Linked DNA regions of Alligator mississippiensis. The protein of the gene in region 1 purifies or fractionates together with the protein of each later gene. This does not show direct contact. Links are inferred from orthologs where the notes say so. Each region holds a gene or a part of one and is shown on either strand. Other genes may lie near its edges.

Region 1 (7,006 bases):
GAGGGATGGTGGGATTTCCCCCAGCTATTTCCCCTCTAGAAATAAATCACTGTTCTAAACAACATTGGGGAAATAATAATTTCAAGCCATTAAAATACCTTGGCTGAATCCCTCTTTTCATCAGTGAAACTGTTGTTGGGGGACGTTGCCATTTTCTGCAAAGAAAAATTAGCTCATTTAAAAATATTTAATTTTAAAGTGGCTTTTTAATAACTGTAGTTCAGCATGCATTCGATCCATATGAATTATGTATTGTTATTAAAACAAGGTTCGTGTAGCAATGTAAATGTAAGAAAGGACTTGGCAGAAAAGGGTCTGATTCTGAAAAGGATGCTCCCTATCCTCCACCAAGACCACAGGGAATTGACGATGCTCTGCACTGCACATGGTTTGACTCAGAGTACAAAGGCCCAATCCTGAACACACACGAACAACTTTCACATGTGTGAGTGGTCCCATTGACTTCCATGATTGCAGGACAGAGCCCTCAAAGACTGTTTCTGCACAGTGCTCAGCCCCGCCATTACCTATGGAAATCCGTAAGTCAAAAGGACTCAGAACCTCAAAAAAGATGCTCAAACCTTGAATGATAACCCCAAGGGAGACAAAATGATAATTTGTTGTTGTTATTATTATTATTAACAACAACAATAATATAGTCCATGTTCCAGGTCAAATCAGCCAGATCAGTTCCAAATTATATCAATTGAGCAGAACTCAGTAGTTCCAAAAACCATATAGATTGAGCAGGCAGAACCCAATCATTCTAAACACCATGTACAGAGCTACAGCCAGCAAGCATCCTCTATCCCTGACTCTCACCCCAGGACTTCAGATACTCTCAAATCCATGGGCAGGCATCCTACGCGCAGGCCCAAGCCCAGAGATCCTGGGATTCAGATGTCCCCATTTGATCTTAGTCCACAAGAGGTTGAGGCACTTGACCTGAGCCAAAAAGCTGAGAAGCAAGAGAAAATTATAAGTTTTGTTGTTAAAAATGTGTCATATAATATATATATATATATATATATAGGTTTTATATGTACAGGTTTTTACACACACACACACACACCTTCTAGTCACTGTTCATTACCTACTTAACTGACCAGAGGAACACCTGCGCACCCGATACAATATACGTGCCCATGGAAAATGCTGAAATACTACAAGAAGATCTAGAGACATTACTGGCAAGACAAAATGGGAAGGATTCCCTGGAAGTATAGGGCCTCTTCTGGCATACCTCTGTTGAGTTAAGGCAAGTTAGCATGTCAAAACTTGGCCCTCTGAATTAAAGCAGGGACAGTTAGGGAAGGCATACAGTAGGCAAGAATAAAGAAGCTGTTCCAAGGGAAGGAGCAGCATGAAAACAGCTGTAAACTTATGAATGGAGTCACACAAATCAATCTGGAGTAACCTCACTCTCTTTGAGGGGGTTACTTTGGATTGATACCAGTAGGATGGAGATTAGCATTTGGCTCAGGTGCATTCATTACCATAAGCAGTCACTTGGGAAAGTATAAAGTCGCATTTTATAATTGGCAAATGCCTGTGCTACAGATGGTCCATATCTATACTACTGCAAAGGCTTTTTCCTTATTGGCTTCTTTCCTATTGTACACCATGTACAAGTGCCCAAGGTGTGCTGAGATGGCACGTCTCCTGCTTTATCACCACAGTGAATCTGAACTTTGCCCTAGCCTGACCAAGATAATGAGCTGTTATGATTATTATATAACTGTCAGTGTGAGGCATCCAGCATTCACAAGAGAAAGGAGCAGGAGAGGCGGGAATTGAGCTGACACAGTCATCCCTGTAAATTAAACTCAGAATAAATAAACCAATTAAACAATATTCAATCAGAGATGCAAAGAAGTGAGCAAGAGTAGAGGCCAGCACAGGCCAACTCCCTGCAAATGTAATTTTTTTTTTTCCAATCTCTGGGCTGATTTTAACTGTGTATGCCTCTGCCTTGCAATTTTGTTGCTGCTGCATGCAGAATAAAACAAGAAATCCCTGCAATAAACCTAACTTATCTAAAAACGAGCACGTTGATTGCTGTGGTCGTCTCCAGAGGATTTCTGAGCACCTTGCAGGCATCCTGCAAATGCTGACAGCTCCACGATGAGGTTCATGGGCATAAAGTTACTCACATGTATAAAGGTTTGTCTGCACAAGGGAAGCTACTGTGAAATCAGCCAGGGTGAGAATTTAAAAGTATGGAGGCTATTCTGCACAAAGGCTCTTTTAGCTTCAAATAAAAGTGTTCACACAGAAGGGCTCATGTGGAATAGCTCTGTCTGGGGAGTGCTTGCATGTGGTTTAGCTCAGTTCACTAAGTGCACAAATCCACTACCCCGCGCAGGGAGTGAATGCAGAATAACGACCGGATTTCAAGTGCCAGCCCAACTTGATTTCACTACAGTTTCCCCAAGAAAGGCAAGCCCCAGCACGACGAACTCTAAGTGAGTCGGCATGGGCAGCTGTTTTGTAGGGCTGTGCAAAGCTTTGTTTCCCAATTCAATTCAGAGGAAATTCGGCCCGATTCAGCAGTCGAATCTCAGAATCCGAATCAAATCAGAGGACTCTTTAATGTCTCTGAATCCAATTGGGACCCTCTGCATTGATTCAAACAGACAACTTTAAATGTTTTTTCTACATACGTGTAGGTGGCAGGTGGCTCGTGAACGCTGTGATGCTGGGGCGTCCTACAGGAGCGTGGGGGGCTCCCCAGCACACTCAGAAGTGGACCAGAAGTGCTTCTGGTTCACTTCCGGTCCTGCTGGGGAGTGTGCTGGGGCCCCCCCACGCCCCCACGGCGTGCACCCAGGGGCCTCCCATGGCCGATTGCCGAGTCGGGGAGGATGCGGGGGGGCTTCTGGCCCACTTCCGGGTTCACTGTTGAGCACGTGGGGGCCCAACTCCCGTGGGACACTCCACGCGCCCCAGCATCGCAGCGATCACGAGCTGCCTGCTACCTCGAGGCACCTAGAAAAAACATTTAAAGCTGTCTGTATGTTCGAATTGACTCGGAGGGTCCCACCTTGATTGGGAGAGATTAAAGGGTTCTCCGATTCGATTCGGATTCTGAGATTCGGCCACCGAATCGGGTCGAATCTCCTCTAAATCGAATCAGCTGCGTCTATGTCCGAATCGCCGATTCTCCAAATCAGCATTGAATCTTCAGATTCGGATGAATCGAATCCGGGAAAGCAATACGCGTCAAAGAATCGAATCGCCGACCCCCGATTCGGACTGAATCCGAATCGACTAGGCCCCGCTTCGCGCTCCCCTGCTGTTTCACAATTGATTTTTTTTAGGTGGTTTCTCCCCTTGGACAAGTCCTGCTGGCTGGCGGGGGCTGGGCTGTATCACCGAACTCAGCTCCAGACTGCGCCCGTCCCGTCGATACACCCATTTCACAGATGCAACCGCCAACCCCCCAGTCCCGCAACAAGCGCCATCATCCAACCCCGGCTGCTTTTCCCTGCCCAGGTTGGGGCTGTGGAGTCAAATAGTATCAGTGAATCTATACACCCCCACCCCTGTCCCAGGGTGGGGGTCCTGGGTGGCCGGGGGCTGGAGAAGGAAGGGGGTAGGACGTGCAATGTCCACTGGGAGCTGCTCCAGGGGCACATCCAGCTGTTGGAAGCAGGGGTCCACTGTGAGAGACAGGCCTTCCACCCTCCTCCACTTCCTCCTTAATGGCTCAGTTTAACCCGCGCTAAACTGACCCGCTCCAACTCCCAGGCGTGTCCAGCCGGGAGGGCTATTGCACGAAGCCGCAGTTGTCACCCCACACCAGTGCAGGATGCAAGGAACGGAGCAAAACCGACACACTCCGCCTCTTACACCCGCCCTGAGGCGACTGCTGGGCGGCCCTAGTCCCTCCGCCCCTCGCCCCGCCCCTCTGGCGGAAGGATCCGGTGCTTCGGACGCTCTTCCCGCCGCTCTGCCTATAAAGGCGTCCCGGCCGGGCGGCGCTGCGCCTGGGATCCGTGCGCCGCCACAGCTAGCTGAGGAGACGGCGGCCATTTTGTTCGGCGCCGGCGCTGCGCGGGGCGAGCAGGGGACGCTCGGGGGCCATGGCAGATATCGACAAGCTCAACATCGACAGCATCATCCAACGGCTGCTGGAGGGTGAGGAGGAGGAAGGGGGTGGTTCCCGCGCGCGTTCCTGCCCCCTCCCCCACCCTCAGGGGACCCAAATATTGGGGTGTGAGGCGCGCCGCTGGGCCCCTGCCGCAGCTCGGGGCTCGTGTGGCACGGCACGGCACGGCACGGCACTGCGCGTGCGGGGAAGGAGCCGCGTGTCCCGCCGCCCGGCCCGCCGGGGTTTAACTTCCCCCTTCCCCCCCCCTTGCGCTGCCAAAAGTCCCCGAGGGTTTGGAGCCAGGTGGGAGAAACCTGCCCCCCGGGCTGCCCTCTCTTGCTGCTTTGCAGCATTTCTCTGGAAATAAACGACCTGCGTGATGCAAAAGCGGGGTGGGGGTGCTGTAGGGACAAAGAATAAGAAATACATCCGTCTTGGGGGTCTTCCCCCCTCCTCCGTGCCAGTGCTGGGGGGCTGCAGTAGGTCTCTGACTCTTGACTGAGCCCCAAACGGACCCGGGAAAGGGCAGCAAGTCGTTCAGAAGTTGTTTTGCGCGCGAGTCTTGATTATCGTTCGTGTTTGGCCGCGTTTTCCTCGCCCGAAACGTCCGTGGTGGTGGGCGTCTTGGAAAAGCCAGTCGTATTGAACTAGTAACGCGTCTCGTCGCTGGCTGGGCTGTCCACGGGAAGGTTGCTCTCTCCGCGAGCTCGCTAACAAGATGCCTCAATAGAGCCGCCGAACTTGAACCCTGTATTCCTGCCGTTCCAGCGGTCGTAACTAGAGTTGTTTCGGGTAACCCTCGACTCTTTGCTAAGGCTCGAAATAGTATTTTCGTGGACGGTGGGGCTGGAAGGGACCTCGTAATATTGCTGGGTCCAGCCCTCTGTCCCGGGGCAGGAAGTCGGTCGGGGTCACAGGATCCCAGCAAGATCAGCGTCCAAATGTTTCTTGACCCCAGGGCCAGCAAGTTAGCTAGGGGTCAAAGGATCCCAGCAAGGTAAATGTCCAAATGTTTCTTGACCCCCCAGCGGTAGGAAGCTGGCTGGGGGGGGTCAAAGGATCCCAGCAAGATCAGCGTCCAAATGTTTCTTGACCCCCAGCGGTAGGAAGCTGGCTGGGGGGGGGTCAAAGGATCCCAGCAAGATCAGCGTCCAAATATTTCTTGACCCCAGGGCCAGGAAGTCAGCTGGGGGTCAAAGGATCCCAGCAAGGTAAATGTCCAAATATTTCTTGACCCCCAGCTGACTTCCTGCCTCATGGGTCAAAGGATCCCACCAAGATCAGTGTCCAAATGTTCCTTGGATGTCTTGAATAGCCTTGTTGTTACTGTCTCCAAGTATGAACAGAAATATGAATGCTTATAAATATTAATGGCAGTTCTCACATCAACTAGTGTTATAGACTTCCTAGACGTTCGGGCTGGAAGGGACCTCGTATAAGATGAGGTGCAGGCCCCTCTTGATGGTTGTTTAGTATATTGCATATTAACACCCACTTGTGTTATAAGCTACACAGCAATTACTTGTCATGGCTTGATTGCTGTTCCGTGCATAACCTCAATAACATGGGATTCTTGTTTGTATTTATTATGTTTTTTACAAATGGAGAACCAAAAGACCTCTTTTTGAATTTGGTCAAGTAGCATTTGTTTTAAATGCAAGGAAAAAAACTGATTTTTTTTTTTTTTAGAATCGGGATGGGACCTGTAAGATCCTCAAGTCCGGTCCCTTGCCACAGGCAGGAGGTTATTGGGCTCAAACAAGCTCCAGCAAGTGCTTATATTGAAGGGTCTTGTTAGCAAGCTCTTACAGACCGTTTTGAGAGAGCAACCTTCACACTCCGACCTCCCCAAAGGCCCAACCAGCAAATTATGTAGATTTACAAGGTAAATTGTGTTTTGCAAAATACACTGTGTCTATAGTTTTGATTGTCCCCCCCTCCCCATAAATTTAGAGAGGAGCATGGGCATTGCTTTGTAGTTGACAAACTTTTTTTTTATACTTTAAGTTCAACTTTTTTAAAAGTTGATGTAAATACTCTTTATACTCTGTTTCTTTCAGTGGCTATTTCTTAATTTGTTTTTATCACATCCTTCCCCACTTCCTCTTCAAAAACAATCTTTGTTCTCAGAGCAAATTCCTCCTCCAATTATAACTATAGTTTTGGTAGCATGACTGAACTTTCACGCAACTGCTAGTTTTCATTTGGGTGTACACACTATGGTACACCCCAAAATTGGATTTCCTTAGATGTGTGTGCCTTCAGAGTGGGTTCTCCCTTAACTAAATGTCATAGTCCATCACCGTGAATGCTACAAAGCACTCTGTTTAGTAACAAGACATTTCACATGTTTGATCCCAGACAACATACTCATGCATTCTTGTAGGCAATCGGTAGTGATTCTAGATAAATCTGTTAATAAACTTTAAAGATATGAATGGGGTAGTTTGAAGCTAAACATCTTTCTTTAACAGCTAATTAAACCTAAAGTTGGTGAAGAAACTTCATGGCACTCTTCACATCAAAGTGCTGGGCCATAAAACATTGTTTTTGGTATTTATGATACACTTTAGGTCTCAGACAAATAGCGTAAGACTAGAGTAACATAACTAGGACACATTTACTTTAATTGTTAAAGCACAGTAAAACGACTAAGTGGAAGATGAAAACTGGGAGTAACCTACTATTTTAAAAATAATATTTGCCAATAATGTAGCTGTTATTTCTGTCTCAAGAAACAAACCCCAGCTTTTGTCATGATAGCTTTTTTATGAAAATCTAGATTGTAACACTAGTTGAATTTAGTTATGCAGTTTTCTATGATGCCTGCGTAATCTTGGATCAGATTATATTTGCACATTCAAAATATACAAGATTGACAAAAACAGAAACGTACTTTGTCTAACATTCAGC
Region 2 (7,508 bases), on another chromosome or scaffold:
CTGCAATGCCTGTACCCCGGTTGCCTGCCCCACAACTTGCAGCTCTCCCACCTGTCCCCCTCTAACCTGCCCCCCACAACCTACTTCTCCCCACGGTGCCTGCACCCCTGAGCACCTGCCCCTCTACTTATTCCCCCCCCACTTTGCAGCACTAACTCCCACTGGGGCCCGGTCTAGCTGCGGGCATGGAGCACACGCTGACTCTGGCCCCACACAACAGCTGTTGCAGCTGCAGCAGCTTCAGCCCTAGAGCTAGAGCAAGAGCTGCTACAGCTGCATAGCCAGGATGGAGCTCTGTGCTGTGCTACCTGCTGTTAACAGGAGCAGACCCCAGCAGAAGCTGGAGATGCCCGAGGAAGGTAAGCAGCGGGAAGCAAAGGCATGGCAGTGTGGGGAGCAGAGGCTGCAGGGGACAGGGCAAAAATAAATAAACAAATGAATAAATAAATACATAAATAAAATCTAAATTTATTCCTGCTTGTGTTTGGCCTTTAAGAAAATATCAGAGCAAAATATGTTCTTTCTGATGCAATGCTGTGTTATAGCATCACATGTATTATATCCTTTTGCTGGGACATAAGGAGGATTTTTTTTAAAGTTTAGGAGTTTTGCTAAATATTATTTTTCCTTCTTTTGTTTTTTTAAGCAGCCTTTGGAATAATTTAAAAGAAAAACAATTATGCATTAAAACAGAAAGGCAAAACTTTTTAGTATCTTAAATCAAGCAACAGTATAGTTGGAAGAACTCTTGGATAAGCTTTCTGGTATCAAGTGTCCTTCCTCGGGTCCCTAAATTCACTTGAGGAAGGACACTTGATGCCCAAAAGCTTGTCCAACATCTTTCCCAGCTACAAAGTTGGTTTAATAAAAGGTATCACTTGCCTCTCGTTCATTTCCTGGACCATCATGGGAACACTCCAACTCAAAACAGAAACGTGTTTAAATTTCTGTCACTGGGAATTTAGATTTACTGGAAGGTCAGGAAAAAGTTGAGTAGCATGTAATGGAAGCACGCTGAGAAAAGGTAAAATAAGCTACATAAAGGGAAAATGAAAGGGAGAAGGGTACCTAGAAGAAGCCAATCAATTTCCCCATTAGTTTCCTTCTGCAACAATTTAGGACAAGGGAAGAGAGAATGGCAAGGACCACAGAAGCTTGCAAAGGGAATGGTGAAGCAAGCTTTAAACAGGCTTGGTGATGTGAATGGCACTTTTGAAAACTAGGCTAGTTAAACAAGACCCTACTCTTAGACTCCTAATTTTTAACATACTGTAAAGCAATGTGAGGAAAATTAATTAAGCAGATATATAGTTATACAATTAGTTAAGGCTTTAATTGATTAGGGAGGAAAGAGCAATACTGACATTTAATTAAAAAGCAAGTCATATCACAAGCATTAATTATGAAAACAATGTATTTAGTGCTGAGCATTAATTACACTGGCAGTCATGTAGATGGTAGCCAAAGAAGGGGAAGACATGGGCACCCAAAAGAGGCAAAGTGTATCAGAGAATAGTCAGCTGATGGCAGCCACAAAGCATTCAAAATGTTTTAAAGGAGCCCCCTGCTCAGACCTACTCCAAGAGCCATGGTAAGAAGTGCTAGCTAGAGAGATAATGTGGTATTCAAATGCTAAAAACAGGCAACTGATTCTCCCCACAGAACACAAGATCTTTTCCCTTGGGACAATTAGGAATAATTGGTGTTATTTGCCCTTCCAGCTGTGTTACAGCAGGGATCTGGTGTGGTTTAGGGATGTCCCTGACTCCTGTCCCCTCCAGGAGCAGAGGGAGACCCTGGGGCATGCCTCCCTGGAGAGCGCCAGGCTTTTTGATACGTCATTTGGGATAGCAGGCCAAAGCCCACTGAGTAGAGCTATAAGCACCCCTTGGTGATAGCGGCTACTAAAGGCGTAATGCTCGCTAATTCCTCGGGAAAAATAAAAACAAAACAGGGATTGGCACGTGGGTCATATGTTCATGAGGGGGAACACGGAGCAAAGCACACCAGACAGTGCCCAGAGCGTGCCAGGCTGCAGCTCCTTCGCTGCCTGCTGCTGAGGTTCTGGCTGCACCTTTTCATCTACCCACTCCCCACCTGCGACGCCACCAAATCCCGGGACCTCAGAGTCAACCTCCTCTTGGTGCCAGCCTAGCTCATGGTCTGTCTGCCCAAGAAAGAGACGGGCTGAGAGGGCCCTTGGGACCTGTGAGGCCGCTTCCCTGTCCCTGGTCTGCTCCCTTGACTCATTCGAGAGCTAGAGGGTGATGCTGTCCCATGTGTCCTGCTCGGTGTCCCCCCTTGGTGCGCTCCTTTTGAACCCATGCCTCTCACTCCTGTCCCTGTTGCTTGATTTTAACTTGTTTTAATCAGTGATGGGCCCGAGAGCACGGTGCCCTCATCACGAGGGGCTGGCAGGACGGCCGGCCGGCCGGCCTGAGGATGCTGCGCCCCTTGCCTGCAGCACACCTCCCCCGGGCACCGCGCCACAACTCTCACCCGCCACAAAGCGGTGCCCCCGCCATGACAGCTCGCGTCCGGCTCGAAACCAAGAGCCAGGCGGCTACAAGGGCCCAACGATGCCGCCCGAAGGTGTGGCGGGGGCCTCAGGGAGGCCTGTCCCCGCCTGTTTGGCTGGGGCCGGCCCGGGGCGAGGAGCCCGTGTCCCTCGAGGGAGGGGAGCGCAGGGTGAGCCGCTGCGCCGCTCCCCTGTTCCGGGGCCCCGCAGCGCTCGCCCCGCCCTGGCAGCCGAAGCGGGGCCAGGCCGCGTCCGCAGGTTTGGGGGGGGAGGGGGGTCACCTCGGCAGCGCGGGGCCGGGGCCGGGGCCAGGCCCGGCGCAGGTCGCGGAAGTCCGGGCCGTAGATGGACTCGAGCGCCTGTAGCTCGTTGTCCTGGCGTAGCTGGTAGGTCTCCGGCGGCTCCGCGCCCGCCCGGGCCATGTCAGCGGCGGCAGGGGGCAGCCATGGCCGGGCTCCGCCGAGCGCCGGCGGCGGCCGCGGTTGAAGCAGCGCTTCCTGCCTGGGCAGCCGCCAGGCCCCGCGGGACGCTGCCGCCGCCGCTGCTGCCCCCCGCGGCCGCGGGCGGACCTGTCGCCGCTCCGCCGCTGCTGGGGCGGCCTCGGAAGAGCCTCTTCGCCCGCCCGGTGCTCCGCTAAGTACCGGGCACCCCTTGCTCGCGCCCTGCCCGGCGCCGAGCACACGGGAAGGAGCGGACTGCCTCTGCCGCCGCTCGCTTGAATTCCTCCTTGAAGGGAGATCTTTTCAGTCTTGCCAGCCTCATCCCAGCAGGCTAGGACCCAGGTAGAGTCCAACTGTCAGCAAGAGGTAAATGCAGTGATTCCTGACATGGCCTCTTCGAATCGCCCGCGGAGTCACCCGTATCTTGCTGCGCTCCTCAGAGGTAAAGGGCAGGGAACGAGCCTAGACCACCAGTGGGGGAAATGGTGCTTTGAACAAGACCAATGCATTTCCCAAGGACTTCTGTCTGAGATTTACTTAACAGATTTGAGATATCTTCGAAGTGATGGGTTACAGTTTTTACAAATCCCACAGAATTATAATTCTCTTTTTTAGACTAAAAGTAAAATAAAAAGTAAAATAATTTAGCACTATCGGCCCTAGAGGGATTTGGCTGCCTCCACTATCTTCATCCATTCCCATCTGTTTTGTGCCTTCATCTCCAGTCATGCACATTTCGTGTCCATAGACAGTACATCATCTTTGTCTTGGTTGTCCATGTGGCTTTGTCCCCTCTGACAGCCAAGGGGCGCTTTGTTTGGTGTCCAGATTGCTTCCATTCTTTCTATGTGGACCAGCCACTGTAGTCACTGTGCTGTAGTTTTTGGAGTGGGTAGACATAGTAAATAACAACTTAACTAGAAACAAAGGACTTGGAAGGACCTCCCAAGCTGTCAAATCCAGTCCCCCCCCCCCCCCCCCCCCCCCCCAATTTGCAGTGGACTGATTTCCCAAAGGGATCCATAAGAACATTCACTCTGGTCCCTTGTACATACCACAGCCACAAAGCATCTGATTAAATAAGCCAGAAAATTTCTTCCCCTCCAATCTGCAATGCTAGTTAGTCCGTTGTCATTAATTATTTACCCAGAGGCCCCATCAAAATAAGGATCCTGTTACACTAGATATTGCCTGAACATCTATGAAGACATGATCCCAGTCCCAAGAAGTTTACTACAAATATTTTTATGCAATGGATAATTAACCTTTGAAACTTATTGTCATAAAACAGCCTTGAGGTTAAGACCTTAGTAGGTGTCAAAAAAGGACTAGATCAGTGGTGTTCCTGCTCCGGTGAGGTGGGCAGTGCTCAGTCTACCAGCAGGCTGGATCTGGTTGGTGGGCTCCATCTGGTGCACAGGGCAGTGAGGCAGGGCCCAATTGGGCTCTGAAGGAGAAGGGGGCATGGCTTGTCCCAGATCCAGCTGTGTGGGGCATAGCCTGGCCCCAGTCAGGCTGCATGGCTTGATATAAAATGTATCATTGTATGGGACATGGCTTGACCCTGATCCAGTCTATGGGGTTTAGGAATTTGGCAGTACAAGCAGAGATGCGGGGCAGAAAAATTTCCAGGGCTTTATTTTTTCATGGACAATTTTCCAAAAAAAAAAATTTGAAAAATTATTATTCTCTGCCCTTGGTTCCTGTAAAAAATGACATGAACCAAGGGCAGTAGGACCCAGGGGAAGCCCAGTGGACTCCAACAACAGCAGGACCTGCCTGGCCCCTTCCGCCAGCCGGAAGCCACAGCCAAGGTTTCTGGGCTGGGAGCATGTGGCTGCCCCAGCTCAGGAAGCTCAGGGAAGGAGCGTGGTGGGAAAGTGCTGCAGCTGCTTGCAGACTGCGTGGCGTGCCTGTGCCCACTCTGGACAGTCCTATGCAGGCTGCGAGCGCCTGCAGCGTGGGGCACCAGGCATGGGGCGGAGGAGGGGCTGCTTCTCCCCCCCCCCCCACTCAGCTTTTCCCTGGGCTCTTTCCCTGCGCAGAGAAAAGTGGCCCCTCGTCTGCCCACACTGCAGCCGCTCACAGTCCACCTGGGGCTGCTTGTGCCTGCTCCAGACAGCCCCACGTGGGCTGTGAGCGCCTGCAGCATGGGGTGCCAGCCATGGGGCAGGTGAGGGGCCACTTTTCCCCATGATCAGCACCAGCTTCTTCCCTGTCGGTGAGCAGGGGGTCAGGACTGTGTGCTGCCCCCCGCCTGTACCGCGGGGCTGGGGGGCACTGGGTATGAGTGGGTGGGGAGCCAGTGGGAGCACGGGCCCGCACCGGTGTCCTGGGGCCAGTGCCGGTAGGACCCAGAGCAGGGCAGCAGGAGCGTGGGGTCCCAGCTGGCAGGGGCTTTATGGAGCCAGGCCAGCTTCCCCCTCCCTGCTGGTGCGGCCCAGCCTGGCTCCACTGACCCCTGCCAGCCTGTGCCCCACTCTGGGCCCCACCGGTGCTGGCCCTGGGACATTGGTCCCAAGACATTGGGATGTTGGTCCCAAGATGGTGACCAGAGGGTGGGGCACCTGTCAAGGGGCAGGGCTACCCATGCGGCCCTCAACAGCCTGCCAAAACTGGATAAGTGGCCCTCCTCTCAAAATAATTGCCCACCCCTGGGCTAATGCATAAAATATTCCTTAACACAGCAAAACTAATTTAAATTCAGTAGAAATCACAATCTTTTCAGAAGAAATTGTTAAATTTATTGAGCAAGACTCATTTAAAACTTGGCAAACACCTATTAATATTGCTGTCACATACATGTCACATCCATTTCTGTCATTACATACTTTTTCCTGTCCTAAAAGTTTCCTCACAGACCTGCGGAAGCATGTGAGAACGAACACACACACATTCTCAGATCTTTCCAACCAAAGTTGCTGTAAGGCTCACTGTTGGTTACTAGATAGGTGCCTTCTTATCCCTTCTGTATGTGGATAAGAAAAATATTGGTAATAGTGGTTTACAGAGAATAGACAGATATGTAAACATTTGCCTCACTTTCTCTTTATAGTCTGTGAAATATGTTTATTTACTGAAATACATACAGAAATGATAAACAATTGGATACTGACTTTCTTAGGCCCATTAAAGAACACAAATTAGTTGACTGTAAAAGCAATTTACCTGAAAACTTAGGTGGCGTGTGTGTGTGTGTGTGTGTGTGTGTGTGTGTGTGTGTGTAATATATATGTATATATGACAGTAGAAGTTCACTGCAATTCTGTTACAGACATAGAACATGTGTAAGTACTGTGCACATTTTGAATCAATTCATTTGCTGATTTTGCTTGTGTGGCATACATAGAATAGCATGTATTAATACAAGATGCAACATATATACGGGGTGGATCTGGGGGCGTTCAGTATGGATGCAGTCCCCCCTCCCCCTCCCCTGCTTTCAGTTGATGCTGCAAGAGCAGCATCAGAACTTTTTTTAAGTCCCCAAAACAAGTAAGGATTCTCCATCTCCTTTCCCCCCTGCTCAGTGACACCTTCCCTCCCCTTCCCCCTTTACCACCCACTTCTGATGCTGTCCCCATCTGCCCTGGGTTTAAATTGGCTCCAAAGCTACTCCTGCTCTACTCTATCTGGGCTCTGCAGGGAGCCAGGATCAGCTGGAGACATGAGTGGATCTAGGGTTTTGAAAAGGGGGATGCTGATGGTGTGGTACATCACCACAGATAACTTAATACATATTTTTCTCCAAGTAAAAAGAAACCAGAAGCTTTGCTAACATGCTAGGGGTTTAGGGCTATATTATTCAGTTGAAGATCAAAGCAAAAACAAATCTAACCTAAACGGATATACATGAATTTGTTATACATTTTATATTTAAAAAACAGAACAAACTAGGCAAAATAATAAAATTGTTTCTTTAGTCCTGTAGTCATTAGAATTAAATGTACATCTCCTTCAGATTCATAAAATCAAGACTTCTTGAATATCTTGACAGCGCATCCAATACTTCACTAAAAGTTATTTCTACCCTTGAGTTAAAGTTTTTATCTAGGGTTAAAAACAGTCTACTAGGTTGTGAAATAGGAACTACATTACCAGAAGCCACTAGCTTCCAGACAGCAGAATTGAAAAAGAAAGGCTAGCTTGATTAGTGAACACCAAGATCATTAAAAAGGAAATAGGGTCATTAACACCTGTGGAATAAAGAGTTTAGAAGGGATGGGGTAGATTATAATAAACCATGAAGTCTAGTGACTCCTTCACTGCTGCCTGAATAAAAATGTTGCTGCCACTGCTAGGCAGTTTGTTTATACTTTGGGTAGGCCAGGAATCCAGGTGGGAGGGGTATGACTGTACCACTGTACCCCCTTGACGTCCCCCCTGGATCTGCCCAGGGACAGTGGCAGTGAGAATATGCAGGCTTCTCCCTGCCTGGTTTTCTGTGTTCCTTGCCAGCTTGTGAGCAGGCTCAGGAGAGGAAGCTCTCTTGCTGCTGCTGTGGCTGTCCCAGGCTGAGCCCAGCTCTCAGCCTGGCTGGGGTTAGGCAG
Region 3 (7,191 bases), on another chromosome or scaffold:
GGCGACAACCTGGTGCGGGGATTCTGGGTTCTCAACCACCTGGGCAATAGTGATCATTGCCTACTGGAATTCACCATCCAGTGCAGGGTGTCAAAGGCCTACAGCAAGGCAGCAGCCCTGGACTTCAGGAGGGCTGATTTCAATAAGGATATTAGCCAGGGAGGCACTGGGGTCAGGAAGGGGTGGGGAGTTGGGAGTCCAAGAAGAGTGGTCATTCCTTAAGGAGACGATCCTCCAAGGCCAAATGGTTAACAGTCCCGAAGTGGATCAAAGGAGGCAAGAGTGCTCAAAAGCCCCAATGGCTCACCAAAGGCATCCAGGAATGTCTCGGAGCTAAAGAGGCATACACCCAATTGAAGGGAGGGGCCATCACCAAGAAGGATTATATCTCCATTGGTCAAGATTGTAGAGGGGGCTGTTAGGAAGGCTAAGGCAGAGTCAGAACTGGGACTAGTGACCAGGATCAAAGATAACAAGTCCTTTTTTAAATACATAGGGAGTAAAAAGAAGGTACCGGGTAACATGGGGCCTCTGCAGGACACATTTGGAAATCTGGTGGTCACACCAGATGAGAAATCTAACCTCTTTAACAAATTCTTTCCCTCTGTTTTTCTGAGCAGGAACCAGGACATCCCCCCACCCTGCACTGGGATCCCGGATGGACCTAGGGGAGGCGCAGCCAGGCCCAGGGTCAATGAGGACCTGGCCAGGGAGTGTCTGGTGGGACTGGATGTGTTCAAGTCAGCAGATCCAGATGATCTCCACACCAGGGTGCTGAGGAAATTGGCAGAGTTCATCACGAGATTCCTGGCACAGCTTTACGAGCACTCGTGGTGCTCTGGTGAGGTGCCAGAGACTGGAAAAGGGCCGATGTGGTCCCCATTTTCAAAAAAGGAAGGAAGGATGACCCAGGAAACTATAGGCCCATTAGTCTTACCTTGGTCCTGGGAAAGCTGTTTGTGAAAATTATCCAGGAGCACATCTGCGAGGGACCAGCAGGGGAGATTATGCTTACCAACATAGATTCATTAGAGGCAAGTCCTGTCAGACCAGATTGCCGTCTATGACCAGGTCACAAAATCCTTGGATGCAGGTGTCACAGTGGACGTAGTCTTCCTGGACTTTAGGAAGGCCTTCAACGCTGTCTCTCACCCCATTCTCATAAAAAAATTAGGCAACTGTGGTGTCGATGCCTACACAGGTGGGTCACAAATTGGCTGGAGGGCTGCACCCAGAGAGTGGTGGTGGATGGGTCATTTTCGATCTGGAGGGATGTGAACAGTGGAGTCCCCCAGGGCTCGGTCCTCAGGCCCACACTGTTCAACATCTTCATCAGTGACTTAGACGAGGGGGTGAAAAGCACCTTGTTCAGATTTGTGGATGACACTAAGATGTGGGGAGAAGTGGGCACACTAGAAGAGGGACAGGCTACAACTAGATCTGGACAAGTTCCAGGGGTGGGCGGATGAGAATAGGATGGGTTTCAATACTGACAAGGAAGAACCAGCAGCATACCTACAGGCTGGGGAACTCCCTTCTCGTCAGCACAGAGGCAGAAAATGATCTTGGAGTCGCTACTGATTCCAAGATGAACATGGGCCGCCAGTGTGTGGACGCGGTCAGTAAGGCTAGCCACGCCTTGTCATGCATCCATAGATGCATCTTAAGCAGGTCCAAGGAAGTGATCCACCCCTCTATGCAACACTGGTCAGGCTGCAGTTGGAGTACTGCGTCCAGTTCTGGGCGCTGTACTTCAGGAGGGATGTGGACAGCATGGAGAGGATCCAGAGGAGGGCCACTCATGATCAGGGGGCAGCAGGGCAGGCCCTATGAGGAGAGGCTATGGGACCTGAACCTGTTCAGCCTCTACAAGAGAAGGCTGAGAGAGGATCTGGTGGCCATCTATAAACTTGCCAAGGGGGACCAGCAGGCAATGGGAGAGTCCCTGTTCTCCTAAGCACTACCAGGAGTAACAAGGAGTAACGGCCATAAGTTGATGGAGAGTAGATTCAGGAAGCACTACTTCACAGGGCAGCTAGGATCTGGAACCAACTTCCAAGGAAAGTGGTGCTTGCTCCTACCAGGGGGTCTTCAAAAGGAGGCTAGATAAGCACCTAGCTGGGGTCATTTGACCCCAGCATTCTTTCCTGCCCATGGCAGGGGGTCGGACTTGATGATCTGTTCAGGTCCCTTTCGATCCTACCAACTATGAAACTGTAGTGCAGGTTTTCATCAGTAGTAGCCCCATTTTCTCATTGCTAGTTTGAATGCAGAGGCTAAGGCATTTTAAATTATGCTCTTAAGAGAAACCCTAGCCTTCCCATTTCCTTAGGGTTCTGCTATACCTTCAAATAAAAGCTGGTGAGAAACCAGCTATGGAGTTGTTATACATTTTCAAGCACTATAGAGTTGGTTGGCTCTTTTTAAAGCTAGACAGTCATTTTTATTGGATGGTAATGACTTTGCACTGTGGCTTGTCTACATTGTTGTGCAACTGACTCATTTTGCATTATATAGGGGGTTTCACCCTTTTTAAAGGAGTGTACCTCTTCTGGTGGGTACCCCTCCTGGACACTGTACTCCCTGGATGAGCTGGGGGGGGGATTCTGACAGCGGGACAGATGCAAAGTGGGGGGGTACTTGGGCAGCGTGCGATGGTGCACTTCCCAAATACTGCCCCTTCTCTGACAGCAATGATACACTTCCCAGGTACCTTCTTCGAGCTGCTGCCATGTACTCCCCAGGGACCTTCCTAAGTACCCCCAGGGGCATGCGTACTCCTGTTGACAGCCCCTGATGTATGCAATGACTGGGTGCATCTACAAGAGACATTTTACTGTGCAATAGAGCTAATAATTGCATAGTAAGCATCACCATCTACATGTGCTGACCCTTACTGCGCAGTAATTTCCTCTTACTTCGCAGTTAATTTGCTACCTTTAAATGCAAGTAGCAAATTAACTGTCGTGTAATTACTGCACAGTATGGCGTGTGTAGACCTAGGTAATTTGCTCCTGGTCAGCTGGGCAGCAGGAGGTGGGAGATTGCTCCCTGCCCCTAGGACCTGCCTGCTGCCATGGTGGGCTCCACTGCCAGAGCTGAGGCAGGGACAATGTCCCCCTACCCTGGCAACAGGGAACTCCCAGCCCTCACTCGGCTGTCCTGTTTTCAGGCAGTCCCCTGTCAGCTCTGGGCTCCACCTGCAGACTTCCCTGTGCAGCCTGGGGCTGGCTGGGAACTGTTCCAGTCAGGGGCAGGTCCCAGCCCTGCAGGTTCTTCCCAGCGCCCTGCCCCAAGTGGGAGATGAAGGGCACAGGGCTTGGAAAGAACTGTAAGGGAGCGGCAGGTCCCAGCCTCCTTGGCTCCGGCACAGGAGCCCCAGGCAACAGGCAGCTCCCAGGGGCAGGGAGCGGGCTCCCAATCCCTGTCAGGAGGTACCCATCTCCTGGCCCTGTGCTCCCTGCCAGCCCCTGGGCTAGCAGCCAGCAGGAGCCTAGAGCTGTTGCAGGGCTGGAGGGGGTGGGGGCAGACTGCTGCCCAGAGCAGTGATTCTGCTCCCAAATCTTTGCATGTGTAGATGCCTGCCCAACGTGGATTTACTCTAGAGTAAATCCACCTCACAGCATTTGCACACCCACTGACCAGCTAATTGTTTAATGTATGTAACACTAGCAGCAGCCTTAGTCAGGGCTGGATTTTGCCGTGGGGGCCATTCGGACCTGTCACGCTGTTTCTGAAGAAACAGTGACAACAAGGGATGTGCAGGGGGGCCTACAGCTTTGTGGCACATGAGGGCAGGATGTCACCGCTTGTGTATACGCCCCAGAGAAAAGGTCTTCGCTAGTCTTTCCCCTTCGATACCTGCGTTCCGCCCCTGGTGCGTGAGACGCCCCCAGGCGAGGCTGCGAGCGGAGCCCGCCCTGCACCTGCGGAGCTCTGCGCGCACTGGCTCTGGCACACACTGCACCTTCCCCCACTTTGCTGCCGCGACCCAGTGGGGCCGTGACGTAGCAGCTAAGGCAGAGTTGCGGGGCTAGTGGCAGCTGGTCCCTGTCGGGCACCATAACACTGACTGCAAGGCCGCCCCGCGCGCCGATTGGTCACTGGCAGCCCCCGCCCCTGCGCCGATTGGCCGGCCGGCCGGCCGGGGGCGGGTCGGGTCGGGGCGCTGCGCGGCAGCTGCCCGGGGCATTGAGAGCTGTAAGATGGCGGCGGGCGGCGCATGGGCCGCGCTGTGCGAGAAGTTCCGCAGCGCGCAGAGCCTGTCGGCCGTGGAGTCCAAGAAGGACCCGGAGACCGAGCCCTACCGCTCCAAGTACGGCGCCCGCCAGCTGCTGCAGGAGATTAAGCAGCTGCTGGGCCCAGAAGAGGCGGCCGAGGCTGAGGCGGGGGCGGCGGCGGCGCTGCGGGCTGTGCGCCTGGCCGCGCTCGAGTACGAGCTGGGCGTGAACCACACGGAGACTGAGGAGCTGTCGGCGGGCGAGGAGCACCTGCTCAAGTGCACGCGGCTGCTGGAGCCGCGCCGCCTCTCGCGGGCCTGCGTCTCCCTCTACATCCAGGCGCAGGTGGGCACGGGCGTCTCCCCGGCATCCAGCCCCGGTCCGAACCGCTGCCCTGCCCGCGGCGGCCGCGCTCGCCAGGCCTGTGCTGTAGCCCCCTGCTCCGCTGCCCCGCAAAGCCCTGCGCTGGGACTGGGACCCAGGTGGCATCGTGCGTGGGGCGGCTGCTGATAACAGTCAATAGCGGGTCTGCAGCCACAGCTTGAGCTAGAAAACAAACCAACCTTGGAGTTCAGTGTCGGGGTCCTGGGCTGGGAGGCTCCAAGGGTGGCACCAGGTCCTCTTGAATTTGCTAAGTACCCTAGCATTTGCAGGTGCTGGCTTTAATATTTTATTAAATGGGGTTTGATTGATTTTATTTATCTTTTTTTGCTTTACTGGAACTTTTGGAGCAGGAACAAACCAGATTTTTTGTGGACTTGGAAGGTGTTAATACCCGAGGTTTATATCCCTGAGGAAGTAAAAGGAAGCGGGGTTTCTCCTTTCTTTTTGTTGTTGTCCAGTGTTGTTTAACATGGGCCTGTTTTTGTTTGTTTTTACCTTAGTTTATGGCCTTTTCTGGCAAGGCTGTTTTGTTTCTACAAATTATTTAAGCATTTTAACAAACATATAGCAACATGACATCTAATGGATTTGAGCACATCAGTTGTTACTGCTAATATTTTAAGATAAAGCTATGATATTATGTATTGGATTAATTAACATGGTCTTTTAGGCCTTGAGCTCTGAGAGCTGCTCTAATTAAGTCACCTGCTGTGACTCATGTATTCAGTGTCCTGTGCTTCAAAATCAGGGTGGGGGTGCTTCAACTAAAGCTCACTGGATAAGCATTAGTAAATGTCCCCACTGCCATTTTGAAGCACAGGGACTCTGAATACATAAGATGTGGAGGCTGTTGGAGCACACTAATTAGTGCACACCAGCAGACTGGATTGAGTCTGCTCCAACGCACTGTAATTGCAGTATGTTGAAGCAGTGTCCCTCTATGTCTGCTGGCACCTGTGGATGGTTTCCTTTGCTGACCAAGCTAGTTGTCACATTTACAAAGGTTTACACTACGATCACTTAGAAACAGGCTGTGGGGTTTTCTGCTTAGCCACACTTCTGCAGCTGGGTCTGGGTCCCTTGAAAATGGGCATGGCTGGCCACAGGCCTTACACTGACAAGGCTGAGAGTCACCAAGCTAGAACAACAGCCATTTCCTTGCAAAGCCTCACACAACTAGCCTGTAAAGGCTTCTGTGGAGGGTCTCTGCTACAGACTGGGGAGAGCCATTTGTGTTATTTAAGCAGGTTGTTTAAAAGATTTGGTTATTGTCCTTCATTGGGACACCTCATTACAGACCTACTTAATTTGTGGTTTCACAGATTGTCCACAAAATCTGCAAAATTTAATGGAAAGAGCCCCTTAAAAATAAAATACTGGCTCCCCAGCGGGAGCCAGTGGTCCTTGCTGCTGGGAGGGGAAGGTGCCAGCTGGTGGAGTGACATGAAGGGCAGCAGGCAAGAGGGGTTTGCCACCTTGTGTCATTCCCCCCCCCCCCCCCCCCCAACACAGCCTCTCCAGTCAGTGCTGAGGGGCAGGGCTTTTTGTGAAATGACCATGGAATTACAACTTTATACTGTGATCAACTTGCAAAAACTGGTAAGCTCCCCTGTGATTTAGGTAGACCTCTACTTATGAAATATCCATGCTCAGCAGGGCAAAGCAATCATTTAACAGATCCAGGGTTGCTTAAGAACCTGGCTGGGACAGAACAGTGTGTCATCAGTAATCAGAAGTCAGTCAAGCATGTTTAGGTCATGCAAAGTTTTCAGATTTGTTTCATAGTAGCTAGGGTCAGGAGGGACCTGAACAGATCATCCAGCCTGACTCCCTGCCACAGGCAGGAATGAATGCTGGGTTCACAAGACCCCAGACAGGTGATCATCCAACCTCCTCTTGAATTTGCCCAAGGTAGGGGCAAGGACCACTTCCCTGGGAAGTTGGTTCCAGAGTTTGGCCACCTTAACTGTAAAATATTGCCTTCTGATCTCTAACCTAAACCTGTTCTCCATCAGCTTATTACCATTGTTCCTTGTTACCCCAGGTGGTGCTGGGGAGAAAAGAAGAGTTTGTAGGCAGCCACCAGGTCCCCCCTCAGCCTCCTCTTGCTGAGGCTGAACAGGTTCAGGTCCTCCAGTCTCTCCTCATAGGGCCTGTCCTGCTGCCCTCTCACTGAGCGGGTGGCCCTCTTCTGAACCCTCTCCAGGCTGGCCACATCCCTTTTTGAAGTGTGGCACCCGGTACTGGATGCAGTACTTTAACTGCGGCCTGACCAAAGTCGCATAGAAGGGGAGTATCACCTCTCTGGACCGGCTTGAGATGCATGACCACCTTTGGATGCATGACAAAGTATGGCTGGCTTTCCTGGCTGCCGTCTGGCATTGGTGGCTCATGTTGATCTTGGACTCGATAATGATTCCCAAGATCCCTTTCTGCCTCTGTGCTTTCAAGAAGGGAACTCCCCAGCCTGTATGTATGCTGTGGATTCCTTCTCCCAAGGTGCAGCACCCTGCATTTGTCTATGCTGAACCCCATCCTAGTCTCGTCTGCCCACTTCTGTAGTCTGTCTAAATCTGTTTGCAGCCTC
Region 4 (7,361 bases), on another chromosome or scaffold:
GATTCAAGCCCACTTCAGAAAAGTAGTATATGAAAGTACCTGCTTCTGGTGTTTGCTGAGATTATGGGAAATAAAATGCTCATTCTTAATCTAGTAAACTAGTGGTCAAGTGGCTGCAGAAAATAAAATCATCATCAAGCCTATCTCTAATTCCCAGGTTCTGGAGAGATGCCAGTAGCTGAATAAAGGTCAGATCTATACTAGAAACTTTTGTTGATATAATAATGGTCAAGTGTGTGATTTTTATAATGTTTATTTATTTATTGGCAAAAGCCTGAGTAGAGATGCAAATACACTGACAAAGAAGGTGGGCTTTTTTTTTTGCCAGAATATCCACATTTGGAGGGTTACTGATATTGCAACTTTTTTCTGGTGCATACTAGACATAATCTTGATATACAGGATTCCCTTTCTCAAGATCATCTGTCAATGTTTTGAATCTGTATCTGTGAAGCCACCCAGTGCCCTACTTAAAATGAACTCTAATCCTGACAGAGTTGTGGTTTGAAAAATATGTGCGCACACAATTTAAACCCTACAGTTAAGAGATTAAAAGAAGGTTCCAGCATTCCAGACGCTATGGGCCCAATCATGAAAACACACGTGCAATTAATATTGTGCATACATGCAGTTCTTCTGGGTTAAATGGATCTACATCCAGGCAAAAGTGTTTGCAGGACGACTGGCCTACAAGGACATGCTATTTTCTTTTCTTTAAAGTGATTAATGGATGAGTGATATGGGACTGTAGTGGGTTTGTTCAATATATCCACAGCCTGTCCTGTAAAACATCGCAACACAAATACTACAAATCTAAATGTGCCTAGTTTGGAAACAAAAGGTTAGAGCAAAGAGTTTGATTTGTATGCCCCTTCTCTGAGACGCACTGAACTTTGGGGGTTTTTTGGCTGTTATTTAAATAAAAATTGTAATTTTAAAAATATATTAAACCTGTACCATATTAATTTTGAGAGCTCTTTTCTCTATTTGGTTGACTAAGTTCATAGGCATTTGTTCTTTGTCTCAAAAATTAGTCTAAAGCTAAATCATGCACATTATTTACTGGTACTAAGAAAGGATGCAATGTATAAGTAACAATACAGGTTGTTTATAAAGTCCTTGTGCAACTTTAATAACTTTGGATGTATACTTGATAGAAGCAAACTGTAAATGGTGACTGAAAGCATAATACATTAAGTTTTAACACAATACAGCTCAAATTTCTAGACTTCAACATAACTGCCATCTTTTGTGATACATCGTTCAGTCTGATTTTCCAACTCATAGCAAACATTTTCTAGCTGAGTGATTTCATGATTGGCATTTATGAGCCTTACCCTATACAATACTTACACTATGCTAAAAAACATAATGAATTATGCTTTCAGTAGCCAAAGTCATTAATGTTTAAAGTTGTACAGGGACTTATAAGCACCTATATAAGTACTTATATAAGCACCCTGCATATAAACTGTACAGATCATTATATGAAAGTTGTACACAGGCTCAGTTTTTTATACCAAGACATACTGTGATAAAACTATTCAGAAAAGACCCAACAGCAGATTTGTACGGTAACAACTATCGTATCTGTGTAAAATTTGAAGCAGCTCTCCACCTTTTTATCTCTCTTCTATTCTCATTCCCTTATTCATGTTTGTCTCCCTTCCAACCTCATTTGCTTTCTTTGTTTTCCCTCTTTACTTGTGCTCTTTTCCCTTTCCTTCCTACTTCCAGGCTTAATTTCTTTTGTAGCTCTTAGTAGTCTATCAGTTGACTAAACCTCAGCAGGTGTGGCAAATCACCCATTAAGCAGAAGAGTACTGGAAAGACTTACAGACCAAAACATCTAGCAGATTTTTCTGGCAGCTTGTCCATCTTAAGAAGGAAAGAAATACATTTCTGGGGGGAAGCGGGGGTGGGGGTGAGGGAGGGGGAATGAAAAGATAAAATTTTCATTCACCTTTACAGATTCTTGGTGATGCTGGGAAAAGAAAGATACATCTTTCATGAAGTAGAAACGGGGGGAAGAGTGAGCTCATCTCTATGAAGTACTCATATTGTAGGCTGTGGCAATCAGCCAGTCCCACAGAGCACAATGCAGTGACCTCACAGAGGCCTGGGGCTGGTCAGCAATTCTGCTTGACCTAGGAGATGTAGCAGTGACCTCACAGAGGCTTACAGGAGGATCTCTGTATTTTAGCTGGTTTTAAGGTAATGGAGGCAACCAAGCCCATTTATTCTGAATTTGTTAAGTGTAATAAAGAGCTCATTAACCAAGTCTGGCATGAAATTAGAGTGACCAGGCATTTCTACAGTGGCCTTCAAAGAGATGCTTTCATGTGTATCAGTGGATACTTTGCTCCAGTGGAGAGTCTTTGAAATAAAGGAGTGCATGGAAAGGATAACTTAGTGCAGTGGGGGCCAAACTTTTTAGGAGGTTTGCCACAAATCAGCCCTGTTACCTCTCTGCAAGACATTCAGATCCCTTTCCTCTGCCCAGCCTGCTCCTCGTTTCCTGCTTTTTGCCCCGCGTTTCCTGACTGACCTGCTGCTATGTTTTCCGCTCCTTATCCTATCCACCACTGTGTTGCCTGTCCCCTCCCAATTGCAAACATACAGCTTGCCTGTGCCACTTTTAGTACTTAAGCCACAGGTTGGCCATCCCTGACCTAGTCTGTTATGCTTTAAGTAGGCAGAGACTGGGTTTTAACAGAACAGTTCGCAATAACAGTTTGTGGAAATCTTTTAGATTCACTTGGTAACGCAAGTCATAGAGTTGCTTGAAGCTGTAGTCACTTGTTTAACTACCAATTTTGAATAAGGAGAAACAGCCAGCATCCGCATTTCTCCCATCTATACACTTTGCATATGCTGGCTGTTTCCAAGTAGGCCACATCCAAGTTGCCTCCTGGTTTCCCTTAATAAAAAAATTAGAAACATTTTAAAACTACAGCTTAAACATGAAATTGCAGAGTAAGAAATCAGCCACAAACTGGACCATGTTAAGTATGGTTTAAACAGAGACTACAGATTCTTATCCCATTACCTGGGTTAGCTATGGTGACCTTTTCACTCCCTTGGGTTCTTTCAGCATTTCCCCTCCCCTTCGCTTTCTCACCTATTGTATTCTAATCACTCTGCTTTATTATGACATCCTTTTACAACATCTGGATTATTTGACCCCAGCGGTCTTTCTTGCCCAGAGCAGGGAGGCTGGACCCGATGATCTCATGAGGTCCCTTCCAGCCCTAAACTTCTGTGAATCTGTGATGCGGTCAAAAGCAGTCAACCCCAGCTCTTTTGTGCTCTCTCTCTGTATCTTGTGTCACAGGCAAACCCTCATAGTCAAGGGTAATCGTCTTCCACCACTGCCTTATCTGTGGTCCAAAGACGCCTGACAAGACCAATTCAGGATTGCAACTTGGGCGCATGTTTCCACGTGGGCTGGGCAGCTCTGGGTTCTTGATTTGGTCTGCGGCACGTTGTTTCTGCCGCTCCCACTTTTCCCACTGTTGTTGTGAGGTCTCAAAGTACCAAGATCCTCACAACTGACTCTTCCTCCATTTGGGGGCCACACTGGGTGATAGTCCCCCAGGAGCAGATGCTGCATTTTTTCAAGTGGGCCTTGAGGATGTCCTTGGACTGCTTTGTCTGCCCTTCTCTTGAGTGTAGGCCTTGACTGAGCTCAGTCATATCTTATGCCAAGGGTGGGCAAAATGCGGCCCATGGGCCACATGCAGCCTGCCAGGCTATTCTATTCAGCCTGCAGGGCAGCTAAAACATTTCAAAAATTAATATTTACCTGCCCCTGACTACCTGTCAAGCAGCCCTCGATGGCTTGCCAAAACTCAGTAAGCAGCACTCCACCCAAAATAATTGCCCGCCCCTGTCTTATGTAGTCAAGTCTACAGAGGTGCACCCCAGTGCCCTGCCTGCTCGCTAGGGGAGACTAACGTGGAGAAACACCCCTTTCCCTTGGCAGAGCCCAGACCCAGGTGACGGGCACCGTGGTTTGGCTCCAGGAAGAGGCTTTGCTGCGCCAGGTGCGGGTCAAGCTGGGCCCCGAAACGAGTGACACCAGCGCAAGAGCGCGCGCTGTACGGACCCAAGTCCACCCCCAGGCCAAGCCCTGACTCCGAGGCAGACCGCGCGCGACCCCAACCCAGACAATCCGCTCCCGCCCCCGACCCGCCACGTGACTCACTCCACCCAAAGGGCGCTCGGCCTGGGTTTTTTTTTGTTTGTTTTGTTTTATTTTGTTTTTTGCACTCCCGCCGTCACCATGGAGACCCCCGGCAGGAAGCGCCCTCCCTCCTCCCCGGCTCGCAGCCGCTTTCTGGCGGGGCCCGGAAGAGGTTCCGGGTCGGGGCGGAAGTGGCGCGCGGCTGTGGTTCATGCGAAATGGCGGCGGGGCCTTGCGTGCCGGGACTCCCGCGGCGGTAGGAAGGAGCTGCCGCCCGACCGCCGAAGGTGAGAGCCGCGGGGCGGGGGCGGGTGTTGCCGAGCCGTAGCTCCTCCCCCCGCGTGGGCCCCGGCGGAGCCGGCTTGCGCCGTGCCGGGCTCTCGGCGGCCCGTTGGGCTCCGGCTTCTCCAGCGAATGAAGCGGTTCCTGCCTCAGCTGGGACGTGAGCGCGGGGCAGGGGTTGGCGGACCCTTGCGCGCCCCGGGGTGGGCGGGGAAGGCAGCGGGCCCGGCAGCCAGGGGACAGCGTCGCTGCTCGGGCTTGCGGCGGATCTGGGGAGCGGCTGAATTGGTCCCCTGTAGGGCCCATCCTGGCAGGCCAGGCCGCGGTCTCCCTTCCGCGGGCTCCCCGCACATCCGGGTGCCGCCGCTTCCCCGCTGCCACATTTTGGTGCCCGTGGGCAGCCCCGTGGGCCGGGTGACAAACCAGGCTCTGCAGGCTGAAGGTTGAGCCCCCCCACCCTTTCATAGGAGGGTTTTGACCCAACTTCTGAGGCCTTATGTTCAGCTTGGTGCTAATCTCCATTGGCGTGTTTGTGCGTTTGGATGCGAGGCAGCAGCTTGAGATGCTTCACTCAAATATGGCCTTTGGTGTCTGGCAGGGATTCCTGTGTCAGAGGGGCTCCCGGTTTTTGTGAAAACGAGGAGGAGGAAAGTGGAGACACAGGGACCCTTAGTTATCAATTCAGGGGGGAGTTGGTTCCTTAGTGGAGGTGGTCCCTCACTGAGAAAATGTCTCGGTGGTTGTCTCAAGGTTAAAGAACAGATCGATGGCATCAGTTAATACTTTCCAGCATAACGTTTCCTGTCTGCCAGGCCAGCCGAATTTAAGCTTGAAGCCCTGAACAAACAGCCAGCCTCAGAGAAGGGAGAAAATGTTAGTGGGAGAGCAGAGCACACAGGGGGGCACAGAAATTGAGGGGTGGTGAGGAAAGGAGTCTCTTACCTGACTGCAGTGAGCCAGTCTGGAGAAAAAGGGAATGGGGGTGTATGCAGAGCCCCTAGCATGGGAGTTGTGCAGAAAGCCTCAGGGGCGTGGGACTGGGGCAAAAGAAGTGTGCAAGAGCCCCTGGTGTGAAAGGGGAGCACCTGGAGTGAAACGGAAGTACATAGGAAACAGGTAGTAATGGAAAAAAAGCAAGGAGCAGTGCACTGGTCAGTGCAGTGCGCTTAGCAGAAGCAGCAGTGTGCAAAACTCGCCTGTAAATACAAACAATGTACTTAGTGTGGGTTGTGGGAGTCGCTTGTTGATAAAATGGTGTAGTTATCTTGCTTTGTATATGTGCCAGAGGGAATGGGTGCAAGCACATTCCCACAACATATCCTTCAGATCACATCACAGCTGCTTTGCAGTAACTGCCCATGTGTGCGCCCTTACCTGGTGCCAAATGACTTCCCACTAAAAATGTTTTGGTAAGCAGAAGCTACTTTGTATTTATTGTGTGGTAAGATCATACATGTGGGCAGTTATCACAAAATGATGCATTGTAAGTTCACACTTCTTACTTCACAGTATTTGTTTGTGCAATTGTAAGTTCACACTTCTTACTTCACAGTATTTGTTTGTGCATCCATACCTGGGGCTTGCATGCAGTTGAATTCTGTGCATTCACAAGAGCTGGGATTTAAAGATGTGATGGATACTGACAGCAGCTATTAGTTTGGTGAAGGAGAGAGGAAGAATAGGAGCATGCTTATCATTACTGATAGATAGAATCTGATGTTGTGGCTTTGTTTTCAGGTTACTCATCCATTTTTTGAGGTGGCAGTGAAAAGAGAAAAAACAGGCCAAGATGGGGCGGAGATCTACATCCTCCACCAAGAGTGGAAAGTTCATGAACCCCACAGACCAGGCCCGTGAGTATCTAGAAAAATGCTTGATATTTTCTTTGACAGATGGGAATGAAAAGTAACTGAAGGATCAAGTCAGATTCCTGATTGAATTCCTTTTTGCCTGTTCAGCACACAGATTGTTTCCATCTCCAGAGTATTTGTTGTTTTGTTAGAACTAAATTTAAACAATTGTTCTAATTAAACATCTGCTTCCATTTTTGAGTGAGTGAGTGACTGTGAATATCTCTGCTTTTAGTGGTCTGGGGACTGCTGTTGTCTATCTTTCATAGTGTGTCTGAAATTTTTTTTAATAAGCATATTTTTCTAGGACTGAGAAAAGAGGGGTGGATAGAACTGGTTTTCAAATCAGCAAACTGTTGAGAAACAGAACTGAAGTACTTGCAAAAGAAAAATGTTATGCTGGCTGGGTTTGACTGAGTTTTTTTTCAAGTTGTCTGTTTCCTTTCTTTCTGCAGGAAAGGAGGCCCGGAAGAGGGAGCTGAAGAAGGTAAGCCATTGTGTCAGCAACGGTATTGCTGTCCTGTTTGTTTCATGTTTCCAACTGCAGTGGACTTTAGGCAGTGAGCAGACTGGCTCCGGGCTTCTCAAAAGCCTTTCTATGTTGTGAAGATGCTGTCTGTCTTAAAGGGATATTGCTAACCTAAATCATGTTTTTGTCTGAATTTTTTTTTTAACCTTAACCCTTCCCCCCCCCCAGTCTGCTTTGTGCTTTTGGTAGCACTTTTTTGTTATTGGGATTACTATGTCCCATTTGCTTAGTTTTCCCTTGTGGTTCCTTTGGCCCTTATAGAAAGGTAACAGGGAAGAAGAAAACCTTAATAAATATGGGAGCAATTATGTTGGGATCCCAAAACTGTCAAAACTGGAGGAGGAGGTGTCTTGAACAAGATAATCCTCAAGTTATATTAGTGTCAGAAGTTGGTTAAAAGTCCTTCTAGGTATGTTATGTGATTAGTACTTTAAGTTGCTTTGAAATCTCTCTTTCTTTAGGTTGTATGGAGTTTCTCCCATATTTTAGAAGTCATAGGATTCTAAATTTTAGA

What was found.
Region 2: the proteins of PPP1CC (region 1) and EIF2AK4 purify together in Homo sapiens (affinity purification with mass spectrometry; 3 studies listed by BioGRID and IntAct, counting the BioPlex papers as one, with this or other methods). This does not show direct contact. The link is inferred for Alligator mississippiensis from reciprocal best matches to the Homo sapiens genes PPP1CC and EIF2AK4.
Region 3: the proteins of PPP1CC (region 1) and KIFBP purify together in Homo sapiens (affinity purification with mass spectrometry; 3 studies listed by BioGRID and IntAct, counting the BioPlex papers as one, with this or other methods). This does not show direct contact. The link is inferred for Alligator mississippiensis from reciprocal best matches to the Homo sapiens genes PPP1CC and KIFBP.
Region 4: the proteins of PPP1CC (region 1) and WBP11 purify together in Homo sapiens (affinity purification with mass spectrometry; 4 studies listed by BioGRID and IntAct, counting the BioPlex papers as one, with this or other methods). This does not show direct contact. The link is inferred for Alligator mississippiensis from reciprocal best matches to the Homo sapiens genes PPP1CC and WBP11.

Annotation. Positions count from the first base shown.
Region 1 is NC_081833.1:3,270,204-3,277,209, reverse strand, and holds the start of PPP1CC (serine/threonine-protein phosphatase PP1-gamma catalytic subunit), read left to right. Parts: upstream 1-3,997; 5' UTR 3,998-4,085; coding exon 4,086-4,140; intron 4,141-7,006. UniProt on the Homo sapiens protein: Protein phosphatase that associates with over 200 regulatory proteins to form highly specific holoenzymes which dephosphorylate hundreds of biological targets.
Region 2 is NC_081825.1:242,153,958-242,161,465, forward strand, and holds the start of EIF2AK4 (eIF-2-alpha kinase GCN2), read right to left. Parts: upstream 3,010-7,508; 5' UTR 2,941-3,009; coding exon 2,800-2,940; intron 2,689-2,799; exon of another isoform or gene 2,554-2,688; intron 1-2,553. UniProt on the Homo sapiens protein: Metabolic-stress sensing protein kinase that phosphorylates the alpha subunit of eukaryotic translation initiation factor 2 (EIF2S1/eIF-2-alpha) in response to low amino acid availability.
Region 3 is NC_081829.1:55,373,300-55,380,490, forward strand, and holds the start of KIFBP (KIF-binding protein), read left to right. Parts: upstream 1-4,190; 5' UTR 4,191-4,205; coding exon 4,206-4,565; intron 4,566-7,191. UniProt on the Homo sapiens protein: Activator of KIF1B plus-end-directed microtubule motor activity. Required for organization of axonal microtubules, and axonal outgrowth and maintenance during peripheral and central nervous system development.
Region 4 is NC_081827.1:90,989,742-90,997,102, reverse strand, and holds the start of WBP11 (WW domain-binding protein 11), read left to right. Parts: upstream 1-4,361; 5' UTR 4,362-4,473; intron 4,474-4,608; exon of another isoform or gene 4,609-4,628; intron 4,629-6,205; 5' UTR 6,206-6,257; coding exon 6,258-6,321; intron 6,322-6,773; coding exon 6,774-6,805; intron 6,806-7,361. UniProt on the Homo sapiens protein: Activates pre-mRNA splicing. May inhibit PP1 phosphatase activity.